Mytilus edulis: one gene and its partner. The protein of the gene in region 2 purifies or fractionates together with the protein of the main gene of each other region. This does not show direct contact. Links are inferred from orthologs where the notes say so. Each region holds a gene or a part of one and is shown on either strand. Other genes may lie near its edges.

Evidence for each region.
Region 1: the proteins of tether containing UBX domain for GLUT4-like (region 2) and nuclear protein localization protein 4 homolog purify together in Homo sapiens (affinity purification with mass spectrometry; 3 studies listed by BioGRID and IntAct, with this or other methods). This does not show direct contact. The link is inferred for Mytilus edulis from reciprocal best matches to the Homo sapiens genes ASPSCR1 and NPLOC4.

Annotation. Positions count from the first base shown.
Region 1 is NC_092352.1:9,703,170-9,711,712, forward strand, and holds the start of nuclear protein localization protein 4 homolog, read left to right. Parts: upstream 1-5,111; 5' UTR 5,112-5,233; coding exon 5,234-5,260; intron 5,261-7,583; coding exon 7,584-7,667; intron 7,668-8,543. Other genes in the region: uncharacterized protein, read right to left, coding at 732-918, 2,628-3,324, 4,845-4,878. UniProt on the Homo sapiens protein: The ternary complex containing UFD1, VCP and NPLOC4 binds ubiquitinated proteins and is necessary for the export of misfolded proteins from the ER to the cytoplasm, where they are degraded by the proteasome.
Region 2 is NC_092352.1:39,218,507-39,226,481, reverse strand, and holds the start of tether containing UBX domain for GLUT4-like, read right to left. Parts: upstream 3,487-7,975; 5' UTR 3,432-3,486; coding exon 3,354-3,431; intron 1-3,353. Other genes in the region: DNA excision repair protein ERCC-6-like, read left to right, coding at 5,083-5,287, 5,510-5,609, 5,904-6,021. UniProt on the Homo sapiens protein: Tethering protein that sequesters GLUT4-containing vesicles in the cytoplasm in the absence of insulin. Modulates the amount of GLUT4 that is available at the cell surface. Enhances VCP methylation catalyzed by VCPKMT.

The DNA of each region.
Region 1 (8,543 bases), about 30 Mb from region 2:
TACAAATGTATTTAAAAATTTTGCTAATTTAGTTTGCGAACTGGGAATATACACATTGAAGACCTGTTGGTGACCTTCTGCTGTTGTTTTTTTCTATGGTCGGGTTGTTGTCTCTTTGGCACATTCCCCATTTCCATTCTCAATTTCAAATATTAAATTGCCATCATAGAAAATTGTCTGCTTTTTTAAATTTACCCTATACTTAAAACATGTAAAAGAGTTTAAAATTCATATACAAGGAGATTATCAAATATATAGGTTTTGCAAATAGAAATGAACAAATTATCTGTTTTTCCGTTTTTCTACGTACTATAGCAGTGAGTCACATTGTAAATCTATTTGACAACTAAATGCACCAAATAAGCAAAAAAGCTTATATCCTAAGAGGTCTTTATGAGTTTTCTGCTGTGATATAAGTAAGGTCATAGGGCTAGGCATGATACAAGAATTACAGAGCAACTGAAAATATTCCTAGGTAAGTGGTGATAATTATCAATTATCTCCCTTAAGTATTCTGTAATTCTTGTATCATGCCTATGACCTTAATAGAACAGAACTTATCTCACAGTGGAAAACTCATAGGCAATGTGTAACAATGAGAAAGGCTTAACCTGTCGCCATCAACAGTTGCTCTGTAATTCTAATTGCATGCCAATTGAGAGTTTATATATCCAAGATGAGATACTGTTCTCATTTCTACAGTTAAAACAAAGAGAGATGTAAAAACTTACTGCTTGCTGTGGTGGTAGTTTTGATGTGAATGGTAGATCATCTTGAACACTGTGTGGTGGAGGTACCTCTGGCAAATCTTTATAATTGTCCATGGCTGGTAGAAATATCAAGCAGTCATTGATGCCTGGTATACTCTTATCCTCTGTTAACCAAGACCTTAAAGGTTCTAATGTTGATGGCAAAGGTCTAAAAGTCAATCATATTGTTGCAGTATTAAACAATTTTAGTGCAAATGTTTATTCTTAAGTTTGAGTCAACTTAGCAAAAACACAAAATGAGAATAAATAAATTCCTAATTCTACATGAGCAGTATAAATGATTGAACTATTGTAATGAATATCCATGAAGTAGCGGTTCATAATGCAAATAATAATGCATTTCATTTATGAAATCAAGTGAAATTTCTATTTGTATGTTTAATAACGAGTATTAAATAATGAGTTGAAAAGTTGTCATAAATTAAACACAATTTAGCTATATGAGTATTACACATTTTTGTCCCCCCCTCATTTATTTATTTATTTCTCTTTCCAACACAATAGAATCTGCTGCACTATGTTGAGAATACTGAATAACTATGCAAGATATTAAAATATACCTGAGGTTATCTTCGACTTAAAATTTGAGTTTTACATGGGAGATAACTCACACCCTTTCCAATAAAATCTGCAAAAGCTGTCACATAATTTCACTATTATTGCAAGCATTCTATATAATCACTAAAAACTTATAACCTGACCAACACATACACATATGTATATTATTACTTTGAAAAAAAGTTACAAAGCCAAGTCAATATGGTATCCTTCCACTTGTTACGTTTTCTCATTTTTGCTACTGACATCTAATATTTTAATACATGAAGTTTAAACAAAATTAGGCAAAATTCTATGAATTGATTAACTGATTTTTACCCTCTGTGGCTGTAAATATTTAATAGATTTTCAACCCAGCTGTATATCATTGAGTATGTAATTTTTCTTTGCTAAATTGTGATTATTTTATCTTTGTATAATGCGAGTAGATTTTGCTGTTTATAAATCATTAGAATATAACAGACTGTAATCTTTGTCCAGAGTCATATATATTCATTTATAACAAGTAATATATACATGTACCTTCCTATAAATTTCTCTCAAACAGATACTTTCATCAAATAATGTGTGAAGTAATAACTTGGCATACAAAGTTCAGATGAAAATCAGTCAATTTATTCAATTACAGTACTTTAGTAAAGCAATGAAGTCACTCAAAATGTTATAACACAGAATGACCTGTACATTGACTGCAAGTTCTCTATGTAGATGAAAAATTAGAAACATTCATAAATCACTGACTGCAAACTAATAATCCTGGCAAAATGTATCATTCATAATTTATTGTACTCCTCTTAAATTAAGTAACTTTGAATCATTTGATATAACTATTGGCATATACAATGTATGACTTATAAAAACAATTATTAAAAAAAACAGATTTTCTATTTTAAGTTGATCATTTTATTTTTATTTTACCAAGGCACAATATTTTCAAATGTTATTTATGTAATAGGATCAAATTTGTATTACATTGTACTTAACACTAATCAATGTATATGATAGTTAAACTTGATGACAAACCACAAAATAAAACAGCTAGAAAAAATATCACAAGGGTTTTCGCCATCATATCAATTTCTATCCTTAACAATCATAACAATGAATATGCTATAACATTCAGTCAGTTGTATTGGTATGTATTATCTGTTATCTAACGTATACATGTAGCTGTTCAAGTGATCCAATGGGAAAGCAACTCAAGTATAAATCTTAATAACTTTAAAACAGACCACTGCAGTACAATTTGATCTAAACAGCAGAGCTATTATGTGATCATTTTAACAATTTCATACAAACCTTTCTTGTTTTATCAAAACTGATGGTTTTCTAAGATCATATTTAATATCTTGTGGTTGTCCATCATTGTCTGTCCCAAAAATAACCTGATGAGAATTTAGACCATGTACCATAGGTTTTATTGATGGACCAGCTGTGATTAAGACTGGAGCCTCTGATGCGTGGTTAAGGGTCAGTGGAGGAACTCTATTGTCAGCCAAACCAGGGAGAAAAGGTTTTGTATCATCTGACACATATTTTTCTTTAGAATTCAATAAATAATGATAAGTAGGATATGGTGCATTGTCTCCAATGTCAACTACTGGTACCTCTTTACCACCAACTGGTACCAGTTCCATGCATGTGTTTCTTGATGAACCATGAACAGGCTCCACTGATACATTGTCACGTGCATGTTTTGTTCTTGGTGGCTTCGATGATAAACTCTCTAATCTGGCTTTAGCACTGAAAGGTCTTCTGCGTGGAGCACTTTTTTCTTGCTTTACTGTAGTTTTACTTACATCCAAATTATTCTTAGTGTCTACACAAATACTTTCTATTTGTGATCTTTTACGAGGATCAGCAGACCATGCTTGTCTTTGACTAGTGGTGATTTGCTTTTCTTCATATAATTTATTTGTGAATGTTGATGGAAAAAGGTTACTTCTGTTATGAAACTTTGGTATCATATGATTCGGTTTTGGAGGCAATCCAGTAACTGTAAAAAAAGACAAATAAAACAGGTTTCTGCAATATTATTTTATTTATAAGTTTTATATTTACTTCAAACAGCTCTCTTCATATTTTATACCAAAGATATAGGTGAACTTGTTTCAGGAAAAATCAGGAAAACATGTAATATCATTTTAAATTTCACCTGTAAATATGTTTTTAATGAGCACCATATTGAATGACTTTCCATTTCAACAATGTACAAAAAATGTAGATGTACATTGTAGATGATCATGACTGTTGATAACTATGTTCATAATGTATTGAGATCTTGGTGTGGAAAATGTTACATTAACTGCCAAAAATAGTGACCATGGTGATATGTGCCCTATACTATATTCTACTGTAAGTTACAAACTAAATTCCTAAGTACTACATGTATTTAATTGGCTTTGGTGGTTAGTCACCATATTGAAACCTACAATGTATATTTTCACAAAATAACAAGTCCTCACTTTTTTTGCCAGGGTATTTCAACATGATATTTATTTTTGTTTATTTTAGTACAGAGAATTCAGAAATAATTTATTAAAGAAAGTTTCATACATTTGTATATACACCAGTTCCAAAATACAATATTTGGTTATACATGTACATGTATCCCTTATATGTGACTTTCATTCCCATGTGATCAAAATGTAGGCATCATCACTTCAAACACATACATGTACATAATGTATTGGGATACTAATAGGTAAATAATTTGATGCTGTACTGCCCAAAATATTCAGGAAATCAAAATCTAATTAGTTAGTCACCCTCTCTGCAGTTGTATAGAAATTTAGATTATGTACTTACAGAACATGAATAATTTCTAGACTACCCTACAGAATGACAATCCTGAAGATGCTTGAAACTTTAATAGTGCAGGGAGACAGTCACACCTTCTATTTGATAAATAATGTCATAATGCGAGTGCGTAATTGATGATCTTTTCCAGTGAAAGACACAAGTAAAAAAAATAACCTATTCCGATACGGCACTTCCATTAAAGGGTTTTCAGTTGTATCTGTCATGTGACTTCCATCACCACGTGACTAAAATGTAGGCATCGTCACTTCCAACGCATATTGAGAAAATGGGTGAAAAGGTTCGATTAAATTTTTTTGGATCTTAGCCTACTTCTTCCATAATGACTTAGAAAAATAATTCACTTTTAAGAAACTAAAAGGTGGAGTGAACATGACTGAACACAAATCAAAATCCGTTAACGGAGAATATCTAACAATTGGCAAAAGCGGAGTAACTAGAACAGATTTGAAATTGTTGATCTTTTCAGGTAAGACATGATTCCAGATATAACGGATTGGAAAATAAAGTAGGAATATATCAAAATTAAATCAAATATGATATATGAAGTCAATGAAAGAGAAAACAATAACACTCAATTGACAACCTTATTGGTTTAACTAGGTAAAACATGAATCTTCTGAAGATTATCATCAGACAGTTTAATTCTGCTGAAACTTAACAAAGCAAATGATATTAAGTTAAAAATATACACACCTGCAGTGACATCAAATGTCTTTACAGTAGCCATGTTGTTTACATATTTTCCATGGTTCCGGAAGTCGTTTTTATGAAATTGTCTAAAATAAGATATATCATATACAAATTTCCTTGATTATGTAACAATAAAAGTTATGTGTTTAACTTCATATTTTGATACCGAAAACTAACTTGTTCCTGCAAGTGCGACAGTTTCGAACAAAATATGACTTCTAAATCATAACTGTGTTTAGCATTCACTGGTTTATGAATTATACTATAAAGCGTTTTGTTGACGCAGGTGAACAAATTCAGCTTTTGCAAGTCAGCTGTCTGCTAATAGTTATTTGTAGAAAATTACTAATATTTTCATTTTCAAAACTATTCCTCTGAAATACACAACAAAAATGGCTAGTTCCAAGCATAAGCCAATTGTAAGTTAAGCACGATGTTATAAAAACAATAGAGACAAAATTTATAGGGCTCTAAATACCAATCAGATATTCATATATTTTATGATTAAATCCGTTTATAAATGCTCTTTTTTAAATCCAGAAAAAAATATTTCATCGGTATGTTATCACATCACAATGGAATATATCATATGTTATGTTTGTGAAACAAATGTGATAGGTGGCGGTCGTGTTGTAGGTTTTTTCCTAAAATATGATTCCCAGAAACTGAAACTGAACAATTCTGTATACAAGATATTTTATGGTGCCAATCACAGCACCTATTACTAAGCAGAATATCATTGTAATTACTAAACAAAGTACAATACAATATATATATGATATTTTGAACTAAATAGAATAACAAAATAACTGGATATTTAGGAGATAACTGTATGGTATTTTAAGCTCCGATGGCATCAATTGGGGATTTGATGGTCGCAAATTAAGTTTACTGGCCATGCGTTAGCGGAGACAGTAAACTGGTATTTGCGACCATCAAATCCCCAATTGATGCTGTTGGAGCCTAAAATACAATATTGTTATCTCCATTCTAATGAAACTGACAGAAAACAACGTTTAAACATGTATTTAAAATCTGTCATATGCTGTCTGCACTTGCGCATACATCCCATAGCATCAATTGTCAATTGATGCCATGTAAATAAGTGATGCTATCCATAATCCAATCAAAATGAACGTTACAAACGTTGTTGCACTAGAATAATGATTAGATATTGGAAGATGTGGTGTGAGTGTCAATGAGACAACTCTCCATCCAAATGACAATTTATAAAAGTAAACCATTATAGGTCAATGTACAGCCTTTAACACAGAGCCTTGGCTCACATGAAACAATTAGCTATAAAGGGCCCAAAAATTACTACTGTAAAACCATTCAAATGGGAAAACCAACGGTCTAATCAGTAATCCATATAAAAAACGAGAAACAGGTATGAATTACATAAAACAAACGACAACTACTGTACATCAGATTCCTGATAGTATGATGGCTATAGAATAAGGTTTAATTAATTTATACATTTAGAATTATGACTGGGAAAATACTTACATTACCCTTACATACATGTATATGAAAAAAGTAAGATCACAAAAATACTGAACTTAGCTAGAGGAAAATCAATTCTGAAAGTCCATAATCACATGGCAAAATCAAATAACAAAACGCATAAAAAACGAATGGACAAGAACTGTCATATTTCTGACTTGGTACAGGCATTTTCAAATGTAGAAAATGGTGGATTAAACCTGGTTTTATAGGGCTAACCCTCTCACTTTGATGACAGTCTTGTCAAATTCCGTTATATTTACATTGATGTGTAAACTAAACAGACACAATAAATAAAATAGTCAAAATATGGGTACATCAGTCATCATCGTATAGCAATTTTAAAAGGGACAATTTAACAGAACTCTAAAACATCTATCTACAAACACATTCATTGATTTGTGTGTCTGATGTCAGAAATTTTTTTTATACGTCACATAAATTTGTCGTTCATTGTGCATGCAAACAATTTTAAAATTTACATAGGCAATGTTAGCATATAGGGTTAAAAAATCAAAAGTATGTAAGAATAAATATCAGAAATAGACCGAGATTGAATATAGTCCAAAAGTTATATATATACAGAATTTATAAGAATCCACACATTCCACTACGCGATTGAATGATTTTGACGTTTATGGTTCAACGTAGTTTGTAATTCATAATAGAAATATATCATAATGACATAAACTAGAACAATATCATACTGATGATGTACTTCTCAAGACACAATTTGATTATGGCGTTATAAAAGCGTTGTCCATAGGCAGATATTTCAAGTCCTTTTACAACAAAATACAAACTATGCAAATGTCATGCACATTTTGACTTCATTTCAGAACATTTACATGACATAACGCCCAATTTGCCACGTAAATTTTTTTTCAGCTTATAGATGAACACAAAACACTCCTTTTGTAAATAATTTTAGTGTAAAGGTTATGATTTATATTTTGTTGACATGTATGAGTCCGTTAATATTAATGCAATTTTATTACTTTATTGAATTTATTAGTATTGCTTCCTACATGTACATGTTTATAAACCATGTATTGAAACTAAAAACTTAAATTTCATTTTGCTTTTATGATCAGTTTAATCTTTTCTTTTTGTATTAGTTTGTATTAGGTTGAATTACTACATGTACTCTAACGTTATTAATGAACAGTCACATGATCTTTAATTTCTGTGCAATTATAACAAACTATGATAAATAAGTTCTACTTTTTGTGGTAGGTTGTTCGTATTCAGTCTCCTGAGCATGGTACTAAGAGAGTAGAAGCTAAATCCTCAGAGTCTGTTGCAGACTTCCTAAACAAGGTGAGTATATATGCTCTTTTGTTTCAATGTTGGAAAGTTCCTGGCGGAAAGAACTTAGTAGCCGAAAAGTTCCGAAGGAACTTATTAACTAGTTGCTTTGTTCTTCCTCTGGTTTAAAAGTTCCACCATAACAAAGTGACTAGTTGAAAAGTTCAAAAGTAACATATCAACTAGTTCGAAAGTTCTTTTTTGCCAAATTAGTCAAAACCGGAACTCACAAACTAGCCCAAAAGTTCCAACCAGTCACAAAGTTTCATTTGGAGAAGTGATACAAAGTAAAAGCGTATCATATTATACATATATTTGAACATTTCAAAGGGAAACCAAGATACTGATTACAAAAGTCAAAAGGAACATCATCTAGCCACAAAGTTCCTCTTTGGCAAATAAGTCAAAACCAGAACTAACAAACTAGCCCAAAAGTTCCAACAGAACTTATTAACCAGTTACAAAGTTCCATTTGGAGAATTGATGCAAAGTAAAAACGCAACATATTACCTTTGAACCTTTGCAAAGGGGAACAAAGGTGTCTTATATACTGATCCTCATTCTTCCCTCTCTTCATTATTATGGTACTTAATTCGATCAGAATGTTGCCTTCATGATAATGGAATAAGTTCTAATTTATTGTTATACATTAATCTGAAATTGATATTTTTAAAAGTACCCACATGAGGAGGGGGATTCTTCCCTCTCTTGAGGATACTATGAATACTAAATTTGCATGATAATGCAACTTATTTCCTTTGCTACATTGTTCCGTGACTTTTCAACAAGCAACTTTTTAGCTCACCTGGCCATCGGCCAAGCAACCAAGACGGCCGCCATGGCTAAAAATAGAAGATAGGGGAAAAATGTAGATTTTGGCTTATATCT
Region 2 (7,975 bases):
CTGTGAACTCATATGACCTGTAAATGTGAGTACCATTTAATCCAGGTGCTCCGCAGGGCGCAGCTTTATTCAACTGCAGAAGTCGAACCCTGAACAGTTGGGGCAAGTATGGACACAACATTCAAGCTTGATACAGCTCTGAATTTGGATTGCGATAAAAAAAATTGACATGATATGAGTTTCTGACACAAAACAAATGTCAAGATCTTCCAAATCTATTACGCAATATTGTGCAATTAAAGATTTCTTTTCAAAAATTTGGAATTTGAGAATTTGAAAAAAAATATTTGAAAACTGTAACCTTCCCTCCCCCTTTTTTGGCAATTAGTCCAAAACCTGACATTTCTTTATACATAATATACAAGTAGTGTAAGGGAGGTAAATTTGAACATACCCAACATTGTATGTTAAATGTTTTAGAATTACCTCCCTTACACTGCTTTTAAAATGTCTTAATTGTCCATTGACCAGAAATACCTAGTTTTTCCCCTTTTTTGCCCCTAATTCCGAAACATTTTGAGCCATAACCCCCAAAAGTCAATACCAAACCATCCCTTCATGGTATAGAAACTTGTGGTATAATTTCAGAGAGATTCATCCACTACAAAAATGATTATTTTGGGCCCCCTTTTTGGCCCCTAATTCCTAAACTATTAAGGACCATAACCCCCAAAATCAATCCCAAGCTTCCTTTTGTGGTTATAAACATTGTGTTAAAATTTTATTGATTTCGGTAACTTAATCAAAAGTTATTATCCGGAAACAATCCGTCTTCGAAAAACGCTAACGACGACGGCGAAGACGTGATACCAATAAACGACTAAATTTTTTTTAATATTTGCGGTCGTATAAAATTCAAATGTTATTCCAGTGTGTGAAATGCGTTTTGATATGTTTTCCTTTTGTTACAGGGATCAGGATAGGCAAGAGGTACAAAAGCATGTAGACCTCCTACGACATATAAAGAGAGAGTTTCAGAAGAGCGTCAATGACCCTCATGTCATGAAGTACAGGGCTACTTGGATATGGAAACATATGGCATCACCAGGAAGAGGTTCAGGGAAGCCCAGTCGTTTTTCTTCAAGGTCACCTCTTAGTGGGCCATTGTTGAAAATGCCTGCATCCAATGCAGATCCCTCTGCCCCAACGTCTGCTCACAGAAACTTGTAGCTACTGTCGACCACTCAAAGCAGGACTATAGAAAAGTAACCCTTGTAAATGTAGTGCTTGGTTCTGATGTTCTTTGATGCCTTGATAGCCACATGTTTGCCATGGGGATAATTCCTGCGAGCTCAAAATCTGTCTGCCACTTGACACCATCCATGGTGTGCTTGGGGTCTGCATCGTCTCGCCAAGATATTCATCAATGATAGCCTGCGCAACCTTCGGAATGAACCCTGAGATGGTGTTGTGGGGACACGAAAGGAGAATATTAGGCTGCTGTAACTGTTCCCTGTGGCCATATAGCGCAGGGTCATGGACCATTGGTCAGCTTCAGTCCAGACTCAAGAGGGGTGCAGCAGCCTCACAGTCGACCCTTGATGATGCATTCGGTGTTTTCTACACTGTTAACAGGCTTAAATCAACAATAACAGGACCATATTTTGCTCTTGTTGGAGTCCGGCAAGGGGCCTATTCAGCAGGGCCAAGCATTATCGTTCTGGTGGAATAGCCATCCTCTTTATATGGCAGACGGTATATTTTTTCCAAACATTTATTCCCGCCAAGTTGTATTCTTCTAAATAAAAATAAAAATATGTTGCAAGACGAACTTACTACTGTCTTAAGACAGACAATCAATGTTTTGTGAGCATCATACAAAATTTGGTATTCGTGAGACAATTGTGTGACAGCGACTGTATCACGGTTGGCTTGCAAGGGTCTCACTAATTAGTGACAAGAAGCGTCAAGAAGAATAATTTTAGCGACAAGAAGCGACAAGAAGACTATTTAGCAACAAGAAAACATTTTTATTATTAAATATAAAGAAATATGCATTTTTTTTTTAAATATACAAGCAGAAATAAATTGATATTTTTTTATTAATAGATGAAGAAATCGAGGCACGTGTTCCTTGTTTTATTGCCACAATAACATCCAATTAACACCTTCAACTTTGTACACGCGTCAGAATATACAATCATTGTAAATAGTGAACACCTATTGAAAACTCAAGATTGTCATTAATTTCCTTTAATCTTCAATCAATATACATAAACATGATAAATATCGTGTAATGAGGCAATAAACAAAATAAAATGATGAAAAATATTCACATTTTAATTTTCTTTTCCTCTTGTTTGATTTCAGTTATTTGTATTTCACAATTTGTGTCTGTATTTTCTGAAAGTTTATTATATATATTGTACAAAGAGAGTTTTAAAAAAAAATTATAAGATAAATATATATTATTGTTTTAAAACACAAGTAAAAGCTGAGACATATGTGTATACATGGCTCTGGTAAAAGTAATATCCTAATACGACAGGGTAAACGTAATACTTGCTGTTAAACATAATAAATGATAAAATATCATGTAAATAAATGTTTTAATTTTTTTTTTATCAATATTAAATTTCTTGTCGCTAAAATTGTTTTCTTTTGCATATTCTTTTAATATTTATTCGGAATAAGTAATTTTAATAAAAAAAAAAATATTTTCTTGTCGCTTAAAATAGTTTCTTGTCGCTTCTTGTCACTAAAATAATTCTTCTTGTCGCTAATTAGTGAGACCGGCTTGCAACAGTCGTGAGATTGCTGTACGACAGTTTTGCGACAGTCTTACAATTGTTTTAATAAAATGGTTTATATTGGTACCCAGGACAATGTGTTTATCGCACAACAGTGGTAAGACTTTGGTAAGACACTCTCAAGACAGCCACAAGACAGTTGACACAACAAAAAATCGTAGATCAAAAAAGGTTCATGTCCAATTTTTGTCCCACAACACACAACAGCACCACAATGTTCAAAATATCATTCAACTGTCGAAGGACGATCACAGATTACCTACTATTTGACCAAATTGCATATGGTGGCGCTGAATAGATGTGTCATAGCTTTAGGAAAATTATGATTGTACCAACTTAGAAATATGAGAGTTGTATTTTCACTCGTTTCTGGTTGACAACGATTGATTTGGTTTTAATATACTTTCTCTTTTTTAGGAAACCATGCAGTTCGGTAATTTTGTTTTACTTTTTTACTTTTACCGGTGCGGTGTCCGAAAAAAATGTGCATGACTTGCAATTTGTAAATGACTAAATGTGTGCGTTGGAAAGACTGACATTTGAAAAAGACCACTAATTTACTATGAACATAATCAGTTTTTGAATTCTATATGGTCCTCATACCTGTAGCAACTTAGTATTTGGTGTAATTTTCACATTTTGTCGTCTTCCGTTTGGACATAGAACCTGTACAGTCGCCATTGTTGTTGTTTACAAAATGAACTTCCGGTGCTTCTATCCTTGTAAATAAATCAATTTAATTATCTATTTCAAAATTTATCAACTCTTTAAGTACAACTTCATTGCATCTAAAAAGTTTCATTTATTTTTGAGACATCGAATATTATTAGAATAGCATTATTTCAGAGTGTAATAAAATATAAAATCATGCCCCTTAGGACATGGAGATGAAGTTGTGTAATGTTTTTCAAAATGTGCTGATGTTAGTGATGGGATAAGTCTGTTTATAAAATCTCTGAGTAAATTGATTACTTTGAGATCAAATAATTGGTAATTAAGAGATTAAAGATCGGTCTTTGTAATAAAATGTTTTCATTCAGTTTAATAATTTTAACCAGTTGCAGTTTATCTTTTGTTGTTATGTTTTAGATACATTTTACTGTTAAACTTATCAGAAAATATAGGCCTATGTGTTTAAATTGTAATTAGGTGTGTCAAATAAAAGCTACACAGAACTTATGTAGAGGGATGTAAAGGTGCCGAAACATGTGAAATAAAAATCACAAAAACGTTCCACGGAAAAATATTGGAGAAAAACGAAAAAAGTACCAAAAGGTATTACTTGGCTGTTCTTGGAGATCAAACATTCATAGTTAATGGACATGAAGACCCTGTGGTTACCTCTGAGACTTAGCGTCCGATTTGAAAAGATATTATTCTAAGTAAAACAATAGGCTATTAATAAAGAGAGCAATAAATATCTTGGGACCCAGCTAATTAGTTTATTCAAAACAATGTCCAGGCTGAATTTCAATTAGTCAGGGGTTTACTTTTTAATCAATTGCGGGATAAGCACGAGAAATTAAGAATACTAACCATGCTGACACAAAACACAGAAAATAAATTAAGAAAAACATGAAAAAACAAGAAATAAAACGTCAAACAGGAAAACATGTGAAGTGAAAAGGCTGAAAGCATTGCATGAAAAATTAACCCTTTACCACCCTCTATGTAACCTGAAATGTGTGTGCACTGATCATGACTTCAAAAAAATCTTCTACGTCTAAATATTTTAACTAGCAAATAATGTAAAAAACAAAAGATACTTTTCTCTTCTATATTAAATAAATCTACTAAAACAAATACAGAAAATAAAAGAACTAGCCTGTCAATTTAAAAATCAAGGTAACTACTTTCAGTGCCATATATTAATCATTTTATAGTTCTGTTACTCATGATGAGCTGCCGCTGCTGACTGGTTTCAGGGTACCGCTTCATTATAGTTTGACAATTTATAGCAAAAAAAAAATGGCACTAAAATAAACAAAATGGGACTAAGAAATCAAGTACTAACATTCGTTTTGCATCCAAAAGCAAAATTGGAAATTCAAATAACATATACAATTTTAAGGTGTAAAAGGTTCATACTTATTAAAAAGCAATAACAGTTTAAAAAAGTTCACACATAGTAGAACTCTTCGAATATTTAAAAGATGAAATTTTGCAAAATAAAAGACACTTTTGTTCAACTTAACCTAAATTATCCTAAAATTCAAAACACTTAAACTATCAGGAGTTTTAGTTATCATAGCATCTTTTGTATCAGATAAAATGTTTATTCAGTTCATTCTTTTTTATTTTACAGATTTTATATAATATACAGATATCCAATATGGATAAGAAAATTATTTCTGGAGATTTAGATGAGCCATCAGCCATGGAGACAGATCAGCATCAAGATCCAATAGAGAAAGAGAAAGCTAAAAGCTTCCATGTCAACAGAGATTTAATACCTGTTGCACAGTTAGATGACCAAGCTTTTGATGAACTTAAAAACTTAGGACTAGATGTATTTAACCAAGAGGATTTTGAAGAAGGTATTTGCATGTAAAATCAAATTATTGCTTTATTTTTTGGCATCAAGAATGGATATTTTTTTTTCTTATATGGAACTCATAGAGATATGTTTGGTTCTTGTTTATAATTCATCAGATTGACAAAAGGATTTTGGGAAATCTTTGAAAATTGAAATACCGGTATATGAAAATGTAAGTAAATATAAATGTAGATGTTTCTGTGAATTATATTTTTTACTTCAGGTGTTATGGCACAAGTAGGAGAGGTGTTAGCAAAGGAAGAGGAAGACAGGAACAAAAAAGTTTTAGAGAAAGATCTTAGGGCTGTTGAATTTGACATAAAGTAAGTTAGCAAGACAAACAAAATGGGTAACAAGAAGTTAATCTGAATCAGTGAATGAAATTTCCATATGGTTCTAAACATTTTTTTAAACAGAAAAATTTGCACAACACTTTGTTGAATAAGACAGATTTTATGCACACAAACTGTAATAATTATATATTTATAAAGGTAATGCATCTGTGATAATACATATTCATTATAATGGATGTACAGAATATTGAAATAATATTAGCAGTACCTGAAATTTTGAAAATATGATATTTATGTATACAATTGTGTCAATTATTATTTCAGGAATGTTGAAAAAGAGTTGAAGCAGGTGACCACAGTTTTATCTTCCCTGAATACTGGCATCACATCTGCTTTTGTACAGAAAAGATTGTTAACTGTAAAGAAACAGAAGGAAAATAAGGTAGACTGTTACTGAAATACTTTTTTCTAGTTCCAATTTCCAAATCTTTCACGATAACAGGAATAACTTACAATTCTTTTTTAAAATATAAAACACACCAACCTCTAATATTTGACTTCCCCTATTAAAACTGAGTATACCATTTTTATACGACCGCAAATTTTGAAAAAATATCATGTCGGCGTCGTCGTCGTCGTCGTCGTCGTCGTCGTCGTCGTCGTCGTCCGGCGTCCGAATACTTTTAGTTTTCGCACTCTAACTTTAGTAAAAGTGAATGGAAACCTATGAAATTTTAACACAAGGTTTATGACCACAAAAGGAAGGTTTGTATTGATTTTGGGAGTTTTGGTCCCAACATTTTAGGAATTAGGGGCCAAAAAGGGCCCAAATAAGCATTTTCTTGGTTTTCGCACTATAACTTTAGTTTAAGTTAATAGAAATCTATGAAATTTTGACACAAGGTTTATGACCACAAAAGAACGGTTGGGATTGATTTTGGGAGTTTTGGTCTCAACAGTTTAGGAATTAGGGGCCAAAAAAGGGCCCAAATAAGCATTATTCTTGGTTTTCGCACAATAACATTAGTTTAAGTAAATAGAAATCAATGAAATTTAAACACAATGTTAATGACTACAAAAGGAAGGTTGGTATTGATTTTGGGAGTTTAGGTCCCAACAGTTTAGGAATTAGGGGCCAAAAAGGGACCCAAATAAGCATTTTTCTTGGTTTTTGCACCATAACGTTAGTATAAGTAAATAGAAATCTATGAAATTTAAACACAAGGTTTATGACCATAAAAGAAAGGTTGGGTTTGATTTTGGGAGTTTTGGTCCCAACATAATAAGGGGCCCAAAGGGTCCAAAATTAAACTTTTGTTTGATTTCATCAAAATTGAATAATTGGGGTTCTTTGATATGCTGAATCTAACTGTCATGACTGTGTATGTAGATTCTTAACTTTTGGTCCCGTTTTCAAATTGGTCTACATTAAGGTCCAAAGGGTCCAAAATTAAACTTAGTTTGATTTTGACAAAAAATGAATCAGTTAGGTTCTTTGATATGCTGAATCTAAAAATGTACTTAGATTCTTGATTATTGGCCCAGTTTTCAAGTTGGTCCAAATCGGGGTCCAAAATTAAACTTTGTTTGATTTCATCAAAAATTGAATAAATGGGGTTCTTTGATATACCAAATCTAACTGTGTATGTAGATTCTTCATTTTTGGTCCTGTTTTCAAATTGGTCTACACTAAAGTCCAAAGGGTCCAAAATTAAACTTAGTCTGATTTTAACAAAAATTGAAATCTTGAAGTTCTTTGATATGCTGAATCCAAAAATGTACTTAGATTTTTTATTATGGGCCCAGTTTTCAAGTTGGTCCAAATCAGGATCTAAAATTATTATATTAAGTATTGTGCAATAGCAAGTCTTTTCAATTGCACAGTATTGCGCAATGGCAAGAAATATCTAATTGCACAAATATTGTGAAATAGCAAATTTTTTTTTTAATTAGAGTTATCTTTCTTTGTCCAGAATAGTAAGCAAGAAATATCTAATTGCAAAATATTGTGCAATAGCAAGATTTTTTTTTAATTGGAGTTATCTTTCTTTGTCCAGAATCAACTTAAATCTTTGTTATATACAATATACAATGTATATTCACTTTTTACTACCAACTGATAAATTAAAATAATCTTTACCATTCAGTGATAACAAGCAGTTTTTTTACATCTTAATATTTTATGATGTATTTAAATGAGTAGTTATTGTTGCAAACTCCATTAGAAATTTTAATTGAGATTAGTTTTGGAATAAGGGAAAGGGGGATGTGATTAAAAAAAATGGGTTCAATTTTTCTCATTTGAAATTTCATAAATAAAAATGAAAATTTCTTCAAACATTTTTTTGAGAGGATTAATATTCAACAGCATAGTGAATTGCTCTAAGAGAAACAAA